Linked DNA regions of Drosophila melanogaster. The protein of the gene in region 2 interacts with the protein of the main gene of each other region in a pairwise test. Each region holds a gene or a part of one and is shown on either strand. Other genes may lie near its edges. The genes, in order: HLH3B and Ttc1.

Region 1 (9,723 bases), on a different chromosome or scaffold from region 2:
CAATAAACCCATCCACACACACACACACACACTAACACAAACACACACACACACACATGTATGTATGTATATCTAGCTATATGCATTGGGCGCAAGCAAATATTTAGCATAAAATCGAAATAAAACCAAAAATCCACTTTAAACTATGCATAAATAATTAAAATAATTATCTGTACTATTAAAGAGAAAGAGAAATCCCCGAAGGAATGTTGAGAAATAATCGGAAAACCCCTCGCCCGCGTCCCAAACCTTCAATATAGTAAATAACACTTAACAACCAGATCGCGGAACGTAATATAAATTAAGTCAAAAAAAAAAACAAAAAGCAGAAGCAACTTGAATGAAATACTTAGTGAAATAAATCAAAATTTTTGCCCATTTAACGTTTATATATATGCGCGGTTATACAAATATATATAACGATCACAGCAGTTAGCAATCCATAGTAAAAGTAAACAATTAAAGGCGGCAAGTAAGAGGAACTAGCAAAAGGGCGGATACAACATAAACTAAACTCGCGCAAGTGCATCTATATAAATACGATATAGATATTATATAAACATAGATATATATATATATATATATATATATATATACATATATATATATATATACGAGATATTAACAAGAGTAGTAATCTCAGTAGCAACCCCCGGAACCACTCACCCCCCTTTCCAATCCTTGAACCGGAAACTCCCCAAATAACGTGAAAAAAAAAAGAAAGAAAAGCAACTTTCCACGCATAGCAACATTTTCCGTGGCCTGTTCTTAAGTAACGTATAGCATGTACGATTATCTAAGAAAGCGATCGTCAAAATGCAATATACACTAAACACACTATACATAAATACAAGAAATATAACAAATTGAGCAACAAGTAAGTGAATGTATGAATGAGTAAATCGCTTTTAGCGCGCGACGCCACCCATTAACTTAAAAAAAAACAAAAAACAATGCAAATAATGAGATAATGAGATGATAGTGGAGCCACAATCTTGATATATGTAAAAGTAATCGACAAAAGGACATTTAGCTGCAATTGAAAATTTAAACTAATTTAATACAAATTGAAGTAAAATACAATGAAACCGATGATGGTTTTAGTACGTAAGGCCTTAGATCGATCAACCGAAAACTTCTGCGCAACTATAGTATTGGTTCCAATCTATCTACTATATATACCTATGACAACCACCCCAGTTAAACTGCTTAGATCTCGTTTTAAAAATTTATGTCTGCGATTATGTATGTCCCAGCACTTTAACCCATTTACAAACCACTAAGTAAGCAAAGCGAAAATGATAGCAAAAAGGCAAAAAGGCAAAGGGCAAAGGGCAAAAGCAAAAGCAAAACCAAGTCTATTTGTATGTATTTCCATAGAAATCCTTATATATTGTACGAGAACATATTTTTTTTTTTTACTAACTAAATGATACATTTATACAATTAATGAACGTTGAGTTTTGTGGCATCAAAACTAATTAAATTTAACTATATACATATATGTACACACACCCACACAAGAACACATTCGAGCATTCAGACATACTCACACGCACATACGTCTATAATTTCAAATAAATTAGAAAGAAAAAGAAACCGAAGATTTCCAAACTAAGACCCAAACATTTTAGTAATAATCTAAGTAAACAGCAGACAAGTTATATAAATCTTTAAACACACCCACACACACACACACACCGTTTATTTGTATTTGAAAATGTCAACAGATGAAAAATGACAGCCCAAATCAATATATATTCAAACATATATATGCATAGAAAAAACCAACTTATATATGATGAACAACTTCAGCGTTTCGCTTTAATTATGAGGCAACAACCTCATGAGAAATTCAAACCAAACATTAACTTAATTAACAAATAAACACAAAACTAAACTAAACAATAACAACAGGAAACCCCCAAATTCGAAGAGGAAATGAAAATGAACACGAGACAAATGCGTAAAGAAAACATTAATTTAAAAACAATAAAAATTACAAACAAAAATATATATAGAAATGCGTATTTATTCATTTCGGTGGCAAAATGTAGTATACTTTTGGGCTGAGAAAGTATATTTACAAATGTCTGGTTGTAGCTTGAAAACCGATAATTTTCAACTTACCGTGCAAAAATAAAAAATATTTGTGGCTTTCTTGATTCTCAACACCAGGCCACCATAATCAGTAGAAGGTGTCAACTTCTGGAATTCCAGTTCGTCAAAAATCGAATATTTACAAACTCGATTTTCTCCAAAACATGTTTAATAGTCATAGCTAACTATTACTATCACTATTTAAACGATCCTGGGAAAAAAATTTTTTTTTCACTTTTCAGATTTTCGGTAAGGGGTACCATCATTAAAATTTGCGAAAAATTGCAAAATTTTCGAAATTCCAATTTTCAATACAGGTCGATAGGGAATTTTGTTACGAATTCAACGAGGTATGACATTCCACTTTTTGACAACTATTTTTATTGCTATAAAAAAAAAATTAGTATAATTACACAATTTGTGGCAAATTTATTAGATTTTTGGATTTTAGATGTTTTTTTTTTAGATTGGCTCACCATCCTAATTTTATGATTTATGTTACTTGCTTACTGATTTCGTTCGATTGGAAATTCAATTCACAGTTGCAAGTTTTTTTTTTTAATGATTTGTCGAATTTGCTTTTTATTTTAAACCGTAAATTATTTAGAATGAAATTTGAATAAACAATACAAACTATAACTATTGATTCTGCATCTGCAATTTGCACTATTAACTTTGTAATTTATTGGTAGATAAAAAAAATAGCAAATCGGGGATAGTATACTATCTCCGAATGCTTTGGCAAAGCCGGTATCCACTTTTTCCAAGATTCCATCCATTAGATTCCTTATTCTACGTCCTGCGCCGTTTGCCCAGACTGAGATCGGTGGCTCCGCCTTCCGGCTTGAGGCGTCGCTTGCTACTCCGTCCGCTGGCCGATTTTACACCGGATACGGTGCCACTGATTCGCTGAGTCTCGGCCATGGCCAGCGGAGCAGTGGTCAACGGCAGGGGTGGGCCGTTTAACGGATGCCCAAGTGGGAGTGTAGACTCCAGGAGAAGCTCGCTTTTGACAACGGCTCCCGGGGCAATCATCAGCAGGTCGTTGCCAGCGTTTCCGTTGGCATGTCCGTGCCCAATGCCATTCCTGTGCATCTGCCCGTCGGTGCGTTCACACTTGATGTGCCGTACAGGCGGAACATCTGGATTCTCCAGATTCTCCCCGTCCGCCGCATGGCCATTGGCCATCCTATTGTCGTTGTTGTTCGGCTCCATTTGAGCCCTGATCGGATGCGAGGGCGCCTGCCGCTGCTGCCACTCGAGGATGCCCGTCAGCAGCTTAATGTACTTAATGGCCGAGCGCAGGATCTCGTTCTTCGATAGCTTCTTGTCCGGCGGATGTGTGGGCACCAGCTTGCGCAGCTCTGCAAAGGCACCGGACACGTTCTGCTGGCGCCATCGCTCCCTTGTGTTGGTGAACACCTTGCGCACACCGCCGGTGGCTCCTACGCCGCTGCCGCCGCCACTGGATGCATTGCCGCCGGAGCCATTGCCTCCACCACCGCCGCTACCGCCGACTGAGCTTCCGGAGCTGGCCGGCGCGGTCAGCAGTCCGTTGCGGGAGTGACTGCGCGGCGAACTGGACAGTGAGCGATTCGCTGCGGGCGGAACAAAGGAATCGAGCGTTATGTATATAAGAAATTGGGAACTACGGGATGTTCTAGGAGCTCTAAAGTTTTAAAGACTAAGCCTCACCATCCGCCTGGTTGCCATTCAGAACGATGTAATCGCGAAGATCCTCCTCGTCCTCCTCCGTGTCGTTGAGCGAGAAGTCGGAAAGCTCCGCGTCACCGTCTCCATCGGATATGGACTCCGTCTTGGGCTGCAGGTGGGGCGTGGCATGTCGGAGCAGGGCGGGCGGATGCCTGCCAGCGGCAGTGTCCCGCATGCTACCATTACCGTTCAGGTGCCCGGATCGCGGTGACTCGTTGGTCTGGCTGTGGCCGGAGGATCCGCTCGAGGCGGTGCTCCGTTCGTCCGCGTTATCCGCTCCGTTCGAGCTGCTCGGTAGCCAGGCCATCTCTCCGATTCGCCGGAGCAGAGGATACGTGCGTTCTGTTGCGTTCGAAGCGCAGCAGCAAAGTGAGCAACTGACTGGGTAACTGGCACTGTGTGTCTGGGAACCAACCCCCTATGGACAGAGGGCGGGGCCAATGGCGCAGCATCCACCCCCGGACGAGGCATACACACAAAATGGGCGTACTCGTACATACATATGTATGTACGTTTGGGTTACCAATGTTGGGCTGACTTCTTACCGAGCCTGTTACTTTTTGATTAGATTAGATACCAAAACATAAAACGAGTATGAGCAAACTATAATATATATTAGCATAAGCAGCTGTCTTAGAAGTAAATGAAATTCATAATTTATTTAGTAATTTAAACGTATCCAATGCCAATCCAGTAACTGCACATGCCAGGACAACAAACATTCTCAGTTGTTCCTTTCATAGAGCCCAATGTATCTATACACGACTACTGATGACCGATGGGATGGGGTATGCCCACACTTAGACGCTTCTTGGGCTGCTTTGCCGGCGGCTGCGAGGGTCGCGCCACATCGCCCACCTGCTCCCGATCCCGGTCCTGTTCCTTTCGCTCACCCGGTGTCTCCGGCATGGCGGACTCCATTGCAAACTGGGGCGATGTCCTGTCCCCGGGCGCACCATTTGCACTGGGCACAAGCACGGGCGTTAGATTCTGTCTCATCATGGGCGAGGGATTGACGAATATCATCTTGTCGAGCATCTCCTCGCAAATACCGGCGTGACCCTCGCGCACCACGCGCGGCCGGAAGATGTACGAGGTGGCCGACATGCGGGCATCCATATACTGCACCTGCACCTCCACGGGAAAGTCGCTGCCCAGTACCTCGCCAATCTCAAACGGAGCGCTGTCCGCCACGTGCAGTCGCAGCGGCAGGCGCGGCGACATCTTGAAGGTGACGCGCCGCACGAACCGCGACAGGTCGCCGCCATCGCGACCTGGGCGCAGGTAGACGCCCCACGTCGGCTCCAGCATGTAGGGCATGTCCGGATCGCACTGTTCCATGCGGCAGCCGATCACGATGTCCCGACTGATCACACAGCGCCCGGTGACAGTGATCGGCGGAGTGCGGTTGCAGCTCACCCGCTGGCAGTCATCGACCACATTCTGATGGCGCAGGAGATTTGTGTAGCTCATCACGATTCAAAAAAAAAAAAAAAAAAAAAACTAATTTCAATTTATGTTTAACTAAAAATTTTTCTACGAAAATTTGAAGGCAACTTTAACTTGTTTGCTTGGTGTGATGCTTTTTCAAATCGAGAGCGACAGCAAAAACAGAAGCCCACTAGATATGCATTTAACTAAAGTAATAACTAATGTACATATAATTTTTTATAGATTTTATCATACTACCTAATAACCGTTGCATGTCTGCTACCTTGTTTTCCCCCTCGAAGCAGATGTTAATCCCAACTTGGGATTAAGGTTCTTCAAAAGTTTCGCGAAAGGCGTTGAAATTTCAACGCCTTCGTCGTCCTACAACGGGCCATCTCCGATTTTTTCACGCCTTAAACTGTGATTTTTTCTAATTAATTAACGCAGAATTTGTTGGTGGACTAGGGAAGAGTTAGCGGACTTGGGAGTACGCAATGCGCAGACTCCGAAGGGCGGAGTTAAGTGCTAAGTCAGAGGAATTTGGGGTTGGTGCGGCCCGGGCATTTACTTGGCCGGGAATATTCCGGGCACAGCGACGTTACTTCAGTTCAGCGGGGCAGCTGAATTCTAATGTGGACATTTTGAGGATAGCGAGACCATTCAGTGCAATCTGTAGGTGCTCCAAGGCCAAGGACTTCGTTTAAAGGTCTGCTTCAAGTCCACCTGATCTGAGCCCCGTATCTGTTATATTCCTTCATAAGTTGCCAACCGAGCAGCTCTAAACGAGACTTCCCAAGGAAACCTAGTTTGGAGAATATGACACTATATTTCTGATATTAATTTAAACTGTTCATTACATTGATATAATTTTTTTACAGACATCTATCTCATCAGAAAGTAGTCAAGTGCTGAAGTAATTTCACTTGAGCTTGTATCTCCGTTTGTGCTTACAGTTCAACGCTGGGACGGAATTGTGGTGCCAGTAATGCCACCTGATGTGCTACGTCCATCCTCTAATCGCAATCCATATTCATGGGTCCACAGGTCCTCGGACCTACGCCACTTGGACGTTGAAAGGGTGGGCCTTGGGAACTCGGCTCTAATCCCGCTCACAGTCCGACCGACACTCACCCGAAATCACCACCCGGAATCCGATTAGCGGCAATCAAATGAAATCACAGCACATCAAAACGCGACGGGGAGTGGCGAAGTGCGGCAAGTCAACAGTCGCAGCATCAAAATCAAATTAGCAGCAGTTTGGTGGCTAATTCGAACGCACTTTATCATTTTCGGGCAGGCGTCTGTGACTTTGTGGCACGTGTGTGGCCGCGATAGATAAGAGCGAGCCCCAGCAAATGCCAGCAAACTCCGGCTAGCTTGGGCAAACACCACACACGTGGCCACAAAGGAGCTGCGTGTGGAGTGGGTGCCGGGTCAAATGGATTTTCACACCCACTCGACGTCGGCAAAGCCGCCAATTAATAGAATTCAATTATTCAAAGCCACCGCAGGCCGATGGGACGGCTGATAAGGCATAAAGACATCCTTGGGCACTTCGATCGGATTAGGATAATAAAAAATGCTCCGAAAAAAAAAGAAGTTGTGGGGTCCATAAAAATATGCTTTTATGAGGGGGTAGCTAAAATCATTTCCTATTTATCAGATGCCTCAACTTTTAACCCTTCAATTGCGAAGACTAAAAGCCAAATTCAATGCACAGAAATTGCAAGTAATAATCATTTGTAACTGCATAGCAGTAGTATCAGCATCGAACCGAACCACTCGACCGCTCGGAGTTCATCAACCCCTCGTGGAAAGACGGGGAATCCCCTGCTGGCAGGTATGTGTAACGCCACCTGTGGGCCACAGCGCGCAACAGCCAGCTGGGCGGAGGCGGAAAAGCCAGGGAAAATCAGCTGTCGCTATCATCCCACTCCGTACGTGTTTCAGCGCACGCCGCGCACACCTGCCCAGGTAGAGCTTCCACGGGACAAACGGGAAACAGAAGCCCCCAAAAGCTTGGCGCCACTTTCAACTTTTCATCCGTGCTAGAGAGCCGAGCTGCTAGACCGATGCACTGCGTTGACTGCGGACTGGCGCTCTGGTGCACTGCTGGCCGCACTTGGACGATGACCAGGTGGGTGGGTGAGTAATGCCGTTGCGAAATGCCAGTGCCAGTGCGAGTTCGCACAATTCATGGTGGGGCAGGGACGGGTCCGAGTGCAAAAAGCGTCCGAGAAAGCCGTAGGCAGTGAAAAGCCGCCGCTCACGTGGCGAACTGCGTGACTTGGCCAGCAAATCCGCCGCCCAGCCGGCTCCCCGGAAAACACCCCTCGGAAAACGTGCTGCCAGCCGCCCACCAGGCAGCCCCAAAAAGGCAGGGGATTCCATAGCTTTCCTTAACCTGCAGTTGGTGCGTGGGGCTTGGATTGACACTTGGCATCGGCAGTGCCATGTAACGTATCCCACAGCATAGATAAAAACCAAAAGAAACTAGTATTCAATAGAAGCTATGAAAAAGAAAGATATCCAACATTATAGCAATCTATAAATGGGGTTTCTTGCTATGGAAAAGGGAGTCTTTGGCATTCCAATTACTTGCTTTTGTTGTTCGCGCAAAAGCTTCGCCCAAGGGTTAATGTTTGGGTCCGAGTATCTCAGCCGACCAGCGATTTCCCGAGCGACTGCGATTCCCAGCGATTCTCAGCGACGGCGGAGAGCAGCGAGTGAGTGTGAGAAAATTCTGGGAATGCGAGTGCACGGGGGCTTATACACCGGAGCTTGCGATGCGAGCACTAGTGTTCGTGCGAATTTAGAGCCAGAAGGTCGACAACGCGTTCGTCGCACAGTAGAAAGTATTGCCATATACCAAATAAATCGCAACAACGACCTGTCGAATCACGCAAACAAACAGCTTCGTTTTTTTTTTTTTAATTTCGACCAGAAACAAACCGTTATTCTTTGGTGCCAGTGTTAGTGTCAAGTGTATCGAGCTGAGTGACATATAGCCACAGCCAAAAAGTGAGACCATAAGTGAGATTCCAAACAGAAGGCAGCAGCAGCCTAATCGCAGCCTAATCGCAAAAAAGTGCAGCTGGGTGAGAGCGAGAGCGAGTGTGTAAGTGCAATTGTCACGTTGTTGCAATAAAGCTGCAAAGAAAAATCTCAGCAAGAGGCGCTAGATAGACCATTATCATATTGCCAATACAAAACAACGCATTGGGCAGGCAGCTTACATAAATAACTCGGTTCATAACGTCCAATGGCGCACTTACACATATGTACATATAGTGTTTATTAATAAGTGCACGTTGCACACCGAGCAAAGCGTAAACAAAAGCCCACATCAAAATACCTGACCCTACCGAACAATGCTCCGGGAATGCCCCACCACTTCCTTCCTTGCAGTGCCAAACAAACATACTCTGGCCGCAGAATACGCATACGCAACGTGGTGCACCACTGCAGCCGCTTGCCTTCCGGTCACCTGGAGTGCAGTACTGCAGCACACTGCGCCTACGTGAAGTGAACTCATTCATATATGTAGCTACATAGCTCTAATCGATGCCCGGCATCCAATCTGGGTCAGAGCATATTGCGCATACGCAGCGTGTTCCCTTTTGGGCATTGCACCTTGGTATTTTCAGCTTATTTGCTGCACACACGCCACGTGGGCGCAGTAATTTCTGGCAAATTTGGAATGTCTATTAAAACCCCTACGATTTGGATAGCCGCAGTCGCAGTCGCGTTACACAAGCTAAACAGAGTACCACCATTAATAGCTCAACGTTCCCATTCGTGCCCCGAATTTTCCCACAGTCTTTCCCAGTATGTCTTGCCCCCGGGTTATGCGACTGTTATCCATGTCTGTCGCGCTTCCTGTGCTGCATTATCTAACATCCTCGGAATGACGCACGACCAATGTAATCCAGCAATCCAGAGGCATCGCGGCGGATTCGATTCGACCAGTTGGCCTTCTTGCTTTGCTGCGTCAAAGTTCACCCACATATGGGATGCGAACTGGGTTAACCAGCGAGTTACACAATCCTTGGTGGGTATAAACTGAAGGATTTGGGCAGATTGAGCAGTCGGTTGGAAGCCAGTTTGTTGGGCAAAAAAATGGTATTATCCAATGGAATTTTTCACCTTCTTTGGAATTCTTTCTTCTTGAATTCTGGGCCGTCGAAACAACTATCAGCTTGTTTACTTGGCCCATTTGGTTATCTTTGCTTTTAATGGAAACTCTGAAGAGCCTGGAATGGGGTCCACCCTAATGCCTGTGTGTCTGTGTAGTATTTTTGGGTTTAGTTGATTCAGCCAAATCGGAGAGAATGAACCTGGGTCTTATGCAATCGCTGAAACCGAACTCCTTGCCGAATTGAATGCTTGCTATATGCACCGATTACGACATAGTGGTGCATTGTGAGAAATATGAGTTCTTCGCTGCGTTCTTTTTTTGTAATTGCAAAATTGCTGAAA
Region 2 (9,356 bases):
GAGGATGGAAATGAGGAACATGAGGACACACCGACGTGAACTTACCCTTCGATGGATCGATTCGGGGCCATCTGGGTTCGACTAACCCCAGCGCTATTGCTTCCACGCAGCACCGCTGCAAATCCCGGCACTCGATTGGCCGTGGAGAACATGGGACGGTGGTGACTACTGCGCGAACTGCTGCCACTGCTGTTACCACTTCCGCCGCTACTGGATGCGACCATTGTGCCACCAACAGCGTAGACGGGAGAGTCCATCTGTCCAGGAATCTCGATGAGTTGCGCAATCTGGTACATCTTCTTTTGTCGCGCCTTGCTACGACCCTTTGTCAACCTCTGCTTGGCAGCCATGCAACGGATGTGATCGTCGAACAGGAACTTAGCCGAGAGCAACGGAGTGCGGTTGTGAGTGACTCCGCCCCGGTGCACGGTGATGTGCAAGCAGCGCGAGTCATCCTTATCACCCTGCACCTCTACGTCCTGCAGAAAGCCAACGAACTTTGCCACGCCCCAGCCAAGCAGCTTTGCATCCGGCTCGACGAGAATTAGCTGCAATGCGTCAATGACCAGAAAGCGTCTTTGCTTGCTGCTGTCCTTGGCCACAACGGTGCAGGCTATTAGATCACTATTGTCTAGATGGATAATGGTTAGCCTTAATATATACATACATCATCGTAGGAGGAGTATACTTACTCAGATCGAGTACGTTCTCCACCTGAACCAGATTGACTACATTTGTAAGCGGCAATAGCGATTCCTTCTCATTCAAAAACTTTTGGCACGTGCGACGCAGCAGGAAGTAAACGCGAATGGCTCGGCGTGCCTTTTCCACCTCCCCGCAGGGAAGTCGTCGCGTAAAGTTGATTCCAGTAAGTGGCGTTCCCGTGGGAGGCAGTAGAATGGTGGAGTCCATGCACAGGAATTCCACGTTCAGTTGCGCCTTTCGCATCTCGTTGTATTCGTCTTCGAACAGGTCTAGGAAGATGTCCTCCGACTTGTAGAAGTTACGGATCACCACCATCGACTGATTGCGGGCGCTGAAGAGCAGATCCTGTTGTGCGGCGGTTATGCAGCGCGAATCATCCGAGCTGGGACGGGTGAAAGTGACCAGTAACTCCAAGGCAATCTCCACGGTAATCAACCGAATGCGGGACGCTTTAGGGAATTCAAATGGAATTATTAAAGAGCTAATGATAACCGGAGTTCGAACAGTTGTACATACATGGCTGACTGGACTGGGTGATGATGTTTAACAGATGCTCAATCAAGGCTGTCTTATAACTGAAGGCGCCACGGGTTGATTTTGCAAGAACCTGCTCGAACCACTCATTCTTGATGCCTATATGGAAAGGTACATAAAGATATTTATTAAGGAGACTATGATAGATGCATACGATTGATTAGTACGGGCAGTGGACGAGTTACATACCATCTGAACGGATTGGGACATGTACCAGAATGTGACATTTTCATTACACACAAAGAAAGCAATTAGAATGAAGCAAAAATGGGGTGATCAGAGCAATGGAAAGTTACACAACATTAGCCAAAAAAAACGTCAAATTGAGTTAAGGGAAATATCCATGAATATTACCTCTATTGTGCGACATAGCATATATGAGGCACAGCGACAGCAGGGCAAGGTAATCGTTTTCGGTGCAGTCCAAAGCATGCAGGACCGTGTCTAAAAACGGTTTGGCCATCTCAGCAAAGTCAGCCTTCGTTGAGGAAGATGACTTCTGCAGCAGCTGCTTTTCCTCGTCAGTTATGTTGCGCAGTTTAATCTGCTCCGCTTCAACCGCATCTGCTTGAGAGTCCAGTTCTGTGGTGGCTGGGGATGAGGACTCCACGCCACTGTCCTCGCTAAGGGCATAGCTGGACGAGCTGGACTGACCGGTGACTGTATCCAAGGCCTGTTCGAGACTCTCGTCGGGCTCGCCGAAGCCAGGCACAACCACCTCGCGGTGCTCAACGTATGAATTAAGAATCTCGGCTGCACCCTCCTTAAAAACGCTGTGGTCACCATTGAGGATAACCCAGGCCAGAGCGTGCACCAGAGGGGCATGCGAAACCACCAGGAAGACCAATGAGAGCAGGAAAAGGGCCACGATGGAGCTCACTCGCGGATTGTGCATCTCCTGTATGTCGATGTCCACATTGCGATTAAGCACAGCAGCTAGATTCTGGGTAACCACTGCCAGTGAGGGCGGGGGCGGAGCTGGTGTAAGTGAGAATATGTACAGAGGCACGAATAGCTTATGCAGCAAGTGCTCGGTTAACACCGCGTTCAGATCCTTGATTTCCAGTAGAAGAATGTCACTCAAATAATGCAAATGATCCAGATGCTCGGCAACCAAATTGGACAGCTTTTGATTCGATTGATGGCTGCGGATGAATTAAGAAATCAATACTATAAAACGAGGGACTATATTACAATAACTCTTACTCTATATCTGTGCGAACACAAGTGTCTAGTTCAAGAATGTGTTTGCCGATAAACCAGACCAGATTACTGAAATATGGAGCAGCCGTTCTAGGGAGAAAAAAATAGTTTAATGGAGCTCATGGGACTGAAGGCAAAGGTCGTACTTGTCTCGAATAAAACGCAACATGCTTGGATTTTGAACCTTGTAGACATTTAAGGAAATGGTGCGCACTGCAATTCTCACCATTGACTCGGGATGATTAAAGAACTTAATAGCCTCTGTATACAAGGGAAAGTCATTTGTGTGCTGTAAGGAATATGTCACATTAAATGGATGTAAATATGTGTTTTAGGCAATGCAAACCTCATTGTAAAAGAAGTGTATTGTGTGAGTGTTTAACTTTAGACTTAGCGTCTTTAAAAAAAGTATATAATAGCCCATCACATCCTCGTCGGAGAAGTCAAACTTGTGCACCATGATAGAATTTACATGGTTGTTGCTCAACAGATAATCTGCAACGTCATAGGAATGATTACGTCTACTGTATTATAGAAACTGTTGAAAATTGTACTTACACAGGGACGTCTCGTTGCGTATGTTCTCAAAGAGGATGTTGAGAGTCTGAAGGAGCTGCACGCAGACGAAACTCGAGCCTCCACTCTTTTGTCGCATTATGTGCAGGAAATACGATAGCATATTCTTCTCCAAGAAGAAGCTGTTGCAAATAATTAGATTAAGGTTTATTACATTGAGATGCTTAATACTCACTCAAACACCAGCGAGTCATGCTGGTCGCCCCAAATCAGGATCTCTGCGATGCAGCGCAGCGACTCCACCAGCAGGCCACGATTACTTTCCGACACGGTGGTGTTCTTCTCCAGAATGCTGTACAGGTACTTAAGGTGCTCCAGCGACAAGCGGTTTTTGGGCCGCCCACCCCAGGGTCCGCCAAACCAGCTGCGACTCCGGAACATGTTGGCAACTAGGATGGAATCAACTGGCCACGATCCGCCTGACTGCTCTCATATCAGGGTAAGGAGGAGTGCGGGAGCGCTGTTCTCTTGGATCTTTGCATGCACTACTGCTCACGGTCACGCCACTGGGTTGGCCCACAATAAGGGGGCACCTAATGCCTGCGATTGCACGAATCTAATATTGTAATTTGCGAATGGCGATTTTTTCCAACAAATTGCTCTTCTTCTTCACGGGGAACACAAGTGTCACAGTCAGCTGTTGCTTCCGCCCATATTTATGGTTATCGGTATCGAAGTAACAGAGATGACAAGTGGCTATTTTGTTGTGATTGCATGAGAACTGCGACTGGTTCACGACTTTTAAAAACCTCTCAAAAGAACCGTTTGAATTTTGTAAAACCAGACAGTAAAATTTGGAACAAACCTCATATATTAATAGCATATCACACCATGCATTTTACATTAAATATAATTAATGGATTTTTTTGGTACCGTTTGTTATGAAAATGGGTTCACATTTGCATATTCTACAGAGGTGAAAATGTACGAGAACTGAATTTGATACGTTTTGCTACAGTTTGACTATTATTTTACACATCATCCACGAATACGGCTTTATTTGTTGATCTGCAGAGCATTAGCTAGCTAGGTTTTTATTTAAAGTTGATGGAATACGAGCCCGTGTTGGGATCCTGTTGCATTTGGAAATTCTGTGTAGACAGTCCGAACGGTTTGAGTATCATGTTGCCCAGGTCCTTTAAGCTGGACATCATCTCGTTTTTGAGCTTCTCGTTGCGCTCGTTTATAATTGGCGGCAGCCGAATCTGAGCCTCGCGAGCCTCCTGCTGACCGGGATCGATCTCAGTAACTTTTTTGTAGTCCTCCAGAGCCTCGTCGGGCTTGTCTTCTTGCTCATAGAGCTTGGCGCGCCTGTAAGATGTAATTAGACTTTAGAAATTTTAAGGGAGATATTAAAATAAAGACCTTAAAAGCACCCTCACATACTCCGGCCACAGTTCTATAGCCTTTGTGCAGTCGTCGATGGCCGCTTTGTTGGCCTCCAGCTTAATCTTGGCAGCAGCCCTGTTTCCGTAGAGAACTGCTCGCTCCTTGGAGCTGGCCGAGGGGCAAATGTCTAAGGCTTCTGTGTAGGTCTTGGCGGCGCCTTCGGCGTCGTCATTTTTGAACAACTCGTTGCCCTCAACTTTCAGCTTATCGGCCTTTTCTTTGTTAGCTGTCAGCTGCTCTGGGCTGAGATCCTTCTCCCGTTCGCGCAACTCCTCAATGGTTAGCTCAGAGTCCACTGTCGTTGGTGTCGCGATGGAATCTCCACCAGCCGCGCCCTGTTCCGCTTCGTCATCCAACGCCAGCTGGTTTTGCTTCTCCACGATCTCATCCACGTCCTTTTCGCTCTGCCGCGTGCTGGTGGCCTCTTTTTCGGTTATCTCCTCCCCGATCGCATCATGGAATTCGTCGTCACTGTTGGCGTTGCCTGCCATTCTTTTTAAAATTGATCCTTACCGAATTTACTGGAGATTTCGGTTTGTTGTTCAGCAACAAATAAAGCTCCTCATGCTAACGATAACTGTGCATATCGATAACACCGATGTCGTACAGTGTTGACAAAGGTAGGTTTCTGATTAGGTACCTTCCCAAGCTAAGAAATGTTAGGTACAGATAATTTTTAAAACAAATAATTTAAGGATAATCCTTAATGTTGTATTTGGCAAAGATGAAGACCAATTTAAAATAAACATTTAATCTTTTACAGCTTCCCTTGATAAGGGAAGCTGTAAATAAACTCTTTCCAACACTACCGCTTGTTAACGATTTGACTGCTGCCCATGCGAATTGGTAAATACGGGAAAAATGGACTTAGGAGCTTATAAATTGAGTGAATACATCCCCGCCAAGCCGCTGGTCGGTAATCTGGAGTTGTGTTTCACGGACGAAGAGCAGGTGAGTTAGGAGCTACCGTGAGAATAGCCTTTTCAAGCCTATCTTTGTAGAGACCCACCGAAACATGCGGCCAACTTAAATGCTGCGATATTTTAAAGTTCCCATTCGCCCGCCCTGATTTCCAGCCAAGTTCAGTGGAGATAAAGGAGAGCAAGGTGCTCGTGTCTGCTGATAAGGCTACAGAGACAAAACGCGTGGTGGAGCTGACTCTGGAGTCCACGTTCGATTACCAGCCCGGGGATACCATTGGAATTTTGCCTGCTAATAAACTCGAACAAGTGGAAAGTCTGCTCCATCGGCTGGAACTGTTAGACCAGGCCGACACCACTTGCCACTTAAAGTTGGTGTTCAACTGCGCCAATAAGAATGCTAAGCTACCCGCCCACATTCCAGCAACTACTACTCCCCGGGAGATCCTTACCCACTGCCTCTCCCTTAATTTTGTTCCGCAGAAGCAGCTCCTCAGCGCCCTGGCCGGATTTACAAGCGATGACAAAGAGCGTTGTTTCCTGTCCTGTCTGTCCTCTAAACAGGCCACCGAGTACTACCAATCGCTGATATTAGAGCAAGGCCTGCTTTTCATAGACATTCTTGAAGTGTGCGTCAACTGCAGGCCACCACTGGCATTCCTGGCAGAGCACTTGCCACGGCTGCTGCCGCGACCGTACTCCATTGCCAACAGTCCCTTGGAGGCTAGTAATCGCGAACTTCGCGTTATCTACTCGCTGCTCAGCCTCAAACCTGGAGTCACAACCAGCATGTTGGAGGCGGCTGCACAGCAAAGCAGTCCGGAGCATTCCAAAAAAGTAGTTATCTACCCACGAATGAGCAACCTATTCCGTTACACAGAGCGGGATGTGGGCAGAAACCAAATACTTATTGCTGTTGGCACAGGTCTGGCGCCTTTTCTTGGATTCTTAGCCCACAAGGAAGAGCTTATAAAACAGCAGCCGCAACAGCCAAGCGGGCAATCCTGGCTCTACATTGGTGCCAAGACCCCAGAAGCAGTTCTTAAGCGTGAAAAACTAATGGAGTGGCAGGAATCTTCGTTGCTCGAGCGCCTACGGATGTGTTACTCGCGAGGCGAATCCCCCAGCTACGTGCAACATATGTTGGAGGAGGACTGTGAGGATCTGGTCGAGTTCCTGATGAAGTCAGAGACTGTGTTGTACATTTGTGCCGATGGCGCCAAGATTTCGCAGTCCATTGCAGGTGTTTTAAGTCGTTGCTTGCAGAAGGCTATGCATCTCACTGAAGAAGAAGCTTCGCAGCTGTTAAAAAAACTGAGGAAGCAGGACAAATACCGCGAGGATGTTTGGCTGTAATGGACAAGTCTTAGGTGCAGTCAAAATAAAAGCTTCATTAATTAAGCCCTATAAATAAATACCTTAATATATTAGTCGTTTGTAACTCTTACAGAAAATTTGAATTTTTAGTGTGTTTGTTGTTTTTACGTACGGTTAAGGTCGTTTATTTTCATAATTGAAAATAAGTGTAGCAAAGGAACCACTTCCACTGCTCATTTGAGTAGCTAATGTATGCAAGTATTTGCACTCAGATGTTTGTAAATCAATTGCTATTATTTTAACTGCAGCCTCAATGTAAATAATTATAAAACAGAAAGCTTTGGTCGAATAAGTAAATAACGATATATTTAACAACACAAAATAAAAATTACAGTGCAAGGTAAACTAAATACATACAATTGTGAGGGCCATCTTCAATGATCGAAGTGGATGGGGACGACTACGTGTACTAAATGGATTTGGGTCTGTGTATAAAATTGACTTAAGTGGTAAATTGCAAAATATATCTAAATAATGGTAGAATATAGATTACGACTTAGGTTTCAAGCAAATTAAACGTGCACACATAAAACATAAAACGTATAGTAGGGTTTGCTCTTTGAATTTAACCGATTGGTAAAGCGCTAATGTATCGTTATTGTTTCTCCGCTTCTCTAAATATCTAGATCTTTTTATTTATTATACTGTTTACGTTTATTTTGGCAAGTCGTTTTGACCTTGCACAATAATATGCATTTTGTATTTTATCTACGTTTAAGTTTAATTGAAATAGAGCCAATTCTTTTAGTGTATACTAATATAATTACGAATCGATCAAAATTGATGTCAGCTTCTTCTTTCTCCTATTCGTCCCTTTACATTTGCAATAAAAGTTGCGTATAAAAAATTATGCTACTTTATGTTGTTCTTTGTTTGGTTTCAAGACTTAAGTTCCATTTTACATTTACGTTTTTAATTGCAAATTTTGCGTTCGTCTTAAATGCGTTTGCGAATATGTAATGTCGGGTATGTTTCGGTTTCCAAAAAGGCAATCTAACCCCGTTTCTACTGCCCCAAAATACTATCCGTTCGTTGCCTTGCCTAATACTCATTTAAGCTAAACTAAGAAAATCAAGTATATTTTCGATTAATAATTAAGCTCTTTAAAAATTATGAATGCATAATTGTAGGCCAAATATTGGGATTTCATTTCGTATATAAAATTTAACTATGAACCGATCTGCAGCAGCAGCAATCCATTTTCCCTATTAATATCAAAATTGCAAGTAAAATATAATCCCTATCGGTAAGTGTATATATAACAGATAAAAAAGCTAACACCGGCTGGCGAAAGATCCTTGAATGCACTCCTTTTTTCATTCGCCTTCGTTGTGTTTTCGTAAAATATCTGTAGTCTGGCGACTAGCCCACAGATATACTTTTCGAATAGAACTTGTGGTGGTGGGAAATAGCATAAAATATCGAACTGAGAGGATAATGGAAAAATAGGTAGTTTAAACCTTCTTCAATATATTCTCTTCGGCAATTGGCATTGCTTATGATTCCCGTTGGGAGTAGGTTTAGTGTACGTATACCACTTCTATATGATCTATATAGTCTTTCTAGGGACAATATTTCAATATTTCACTTTAGCTTTGACACACACATTACGGCGTTAAATAACATCTCTATTGTGATAGGGGCTTGTATAGAATTACAATTTTCTTTGTGCGTATGGCAAATATCTCCAAGGAAGGAACAAGGGAATCTACTTTAATCTGTTCTTTTGTGGCGTTTGGTTAGTCTTACGTTTGTACTAATTAAAATGGAATATCGAACATTTATCCCTCAATCCCGTCCACACTGCGAATATCAGCTAATATACATACAAGCTCTGTCTAGCTGGCTCTAATTAGTTATCTGTTGCATCGATATCTGTATTCTATGGGAAATGCATAAATTGTGGAGATAATCTTGCTGTGTGTCGCTTGCTGCTGCTAGCTCTAGTCCTAATGGCACTTGTTACACTCATTTCGACTTGCTATATCTATCGCCTTCGTTTTGTTTTGATTTTTTTTTTTTGTTTTTTGGTAATGTACAACAAGTATTGCATGTTCTCTGTTAGGGTTCGTTTGCACTTACTGACTACGACGAATTTTATAAAGAGTCGCATAATGCTGATTTGATAAAATCGCTTAAATCACAATTATGTATATATACGGGTATATAAAGAGTAATCAAACTTATGTCCCTACATTTAATAATACAGTATCTATGTATATCATATGTGCGTGTTTGTGTGCGTTGTTGAAGTAAGCTAATTTGCCATAGGACAATCTAATCTAAGCGATAACCCCGCCCCCCTGCCATCGATGAACTGCTCGAGCGATGCGATATGGATCCACGGTTTGGCGACGGTTTCCTTCGAGTTTTTCGGCCCCTGCTCATCTCTCTGTCCTCGCTGACTCGTGCTGCAAAAAGAAGAGATAAAATCCTATGATTACTTATTGTTGTTAGGTATTCAGCTCGGTTTACTGCACTACAGAAGAGCAAAGGGGCAAACAGGGAACGGGATAGCGAATAATTAACACATCGACCTCTAATAATTGTCATCACCCTGAAATTCGTTTATGGGCCCAAGAATGTACAATTATGTGCACTGAAATATATAAATGGACTTGAAAATTACAGACTTCGATGCTTGCACTAAAA

The links.
Region 1: the proteins of Ttc1 (region 2) and HLH3B interact in a two-hybrid assay, tested with the Drosophila melanogaster proteins (one large-scale study listed by BioGRID).

What each region holds. Positions count from the first base shown.
Region 1 is NC_004354.4:2,677,539-2,687,261, forward strand, and holds HLH3B (helix loop helix protein 3B), read right to left. Parts: upstream 4,186-9,723; 5' UTR 4,121-4,185; coding exon 3,796-4,120; intron 3,699-3,795; coding exon 2,893-3,698; 3' UTR 2,661-2,892; downstream 1-2,660. Other genes in the region: CG2652 (uncharacterized protein), read right to left, coding at 4,579-5,286.
Region 2 is NT_033777.3:16,438,020-16,447,375, forward strand, and holds Ttc1 (tetratricopeptide repeat domain 1), read right to left. Parts: upstream 4,989-9,356; 5' UTR 4,899-4,988; coding exon 4,384-4,898; intron 4,330-4,383; coding exon 4,053-4,329; 3' UTR 3,824-4,052; downstream 1-3,823. Other genes in the region: ema (endosomal maturation defective), read right to left, coding at 46-631, 693-1,154, 1,222-1,338, 1,594-2,384, 2,446-2,532, 2,589-2,731, 2,789-2,937, 3,001-3,140 and 1 more; CG14882 (uncharacterized protein), read left to right, coding at 5,269-5,358, 5,409-6,683.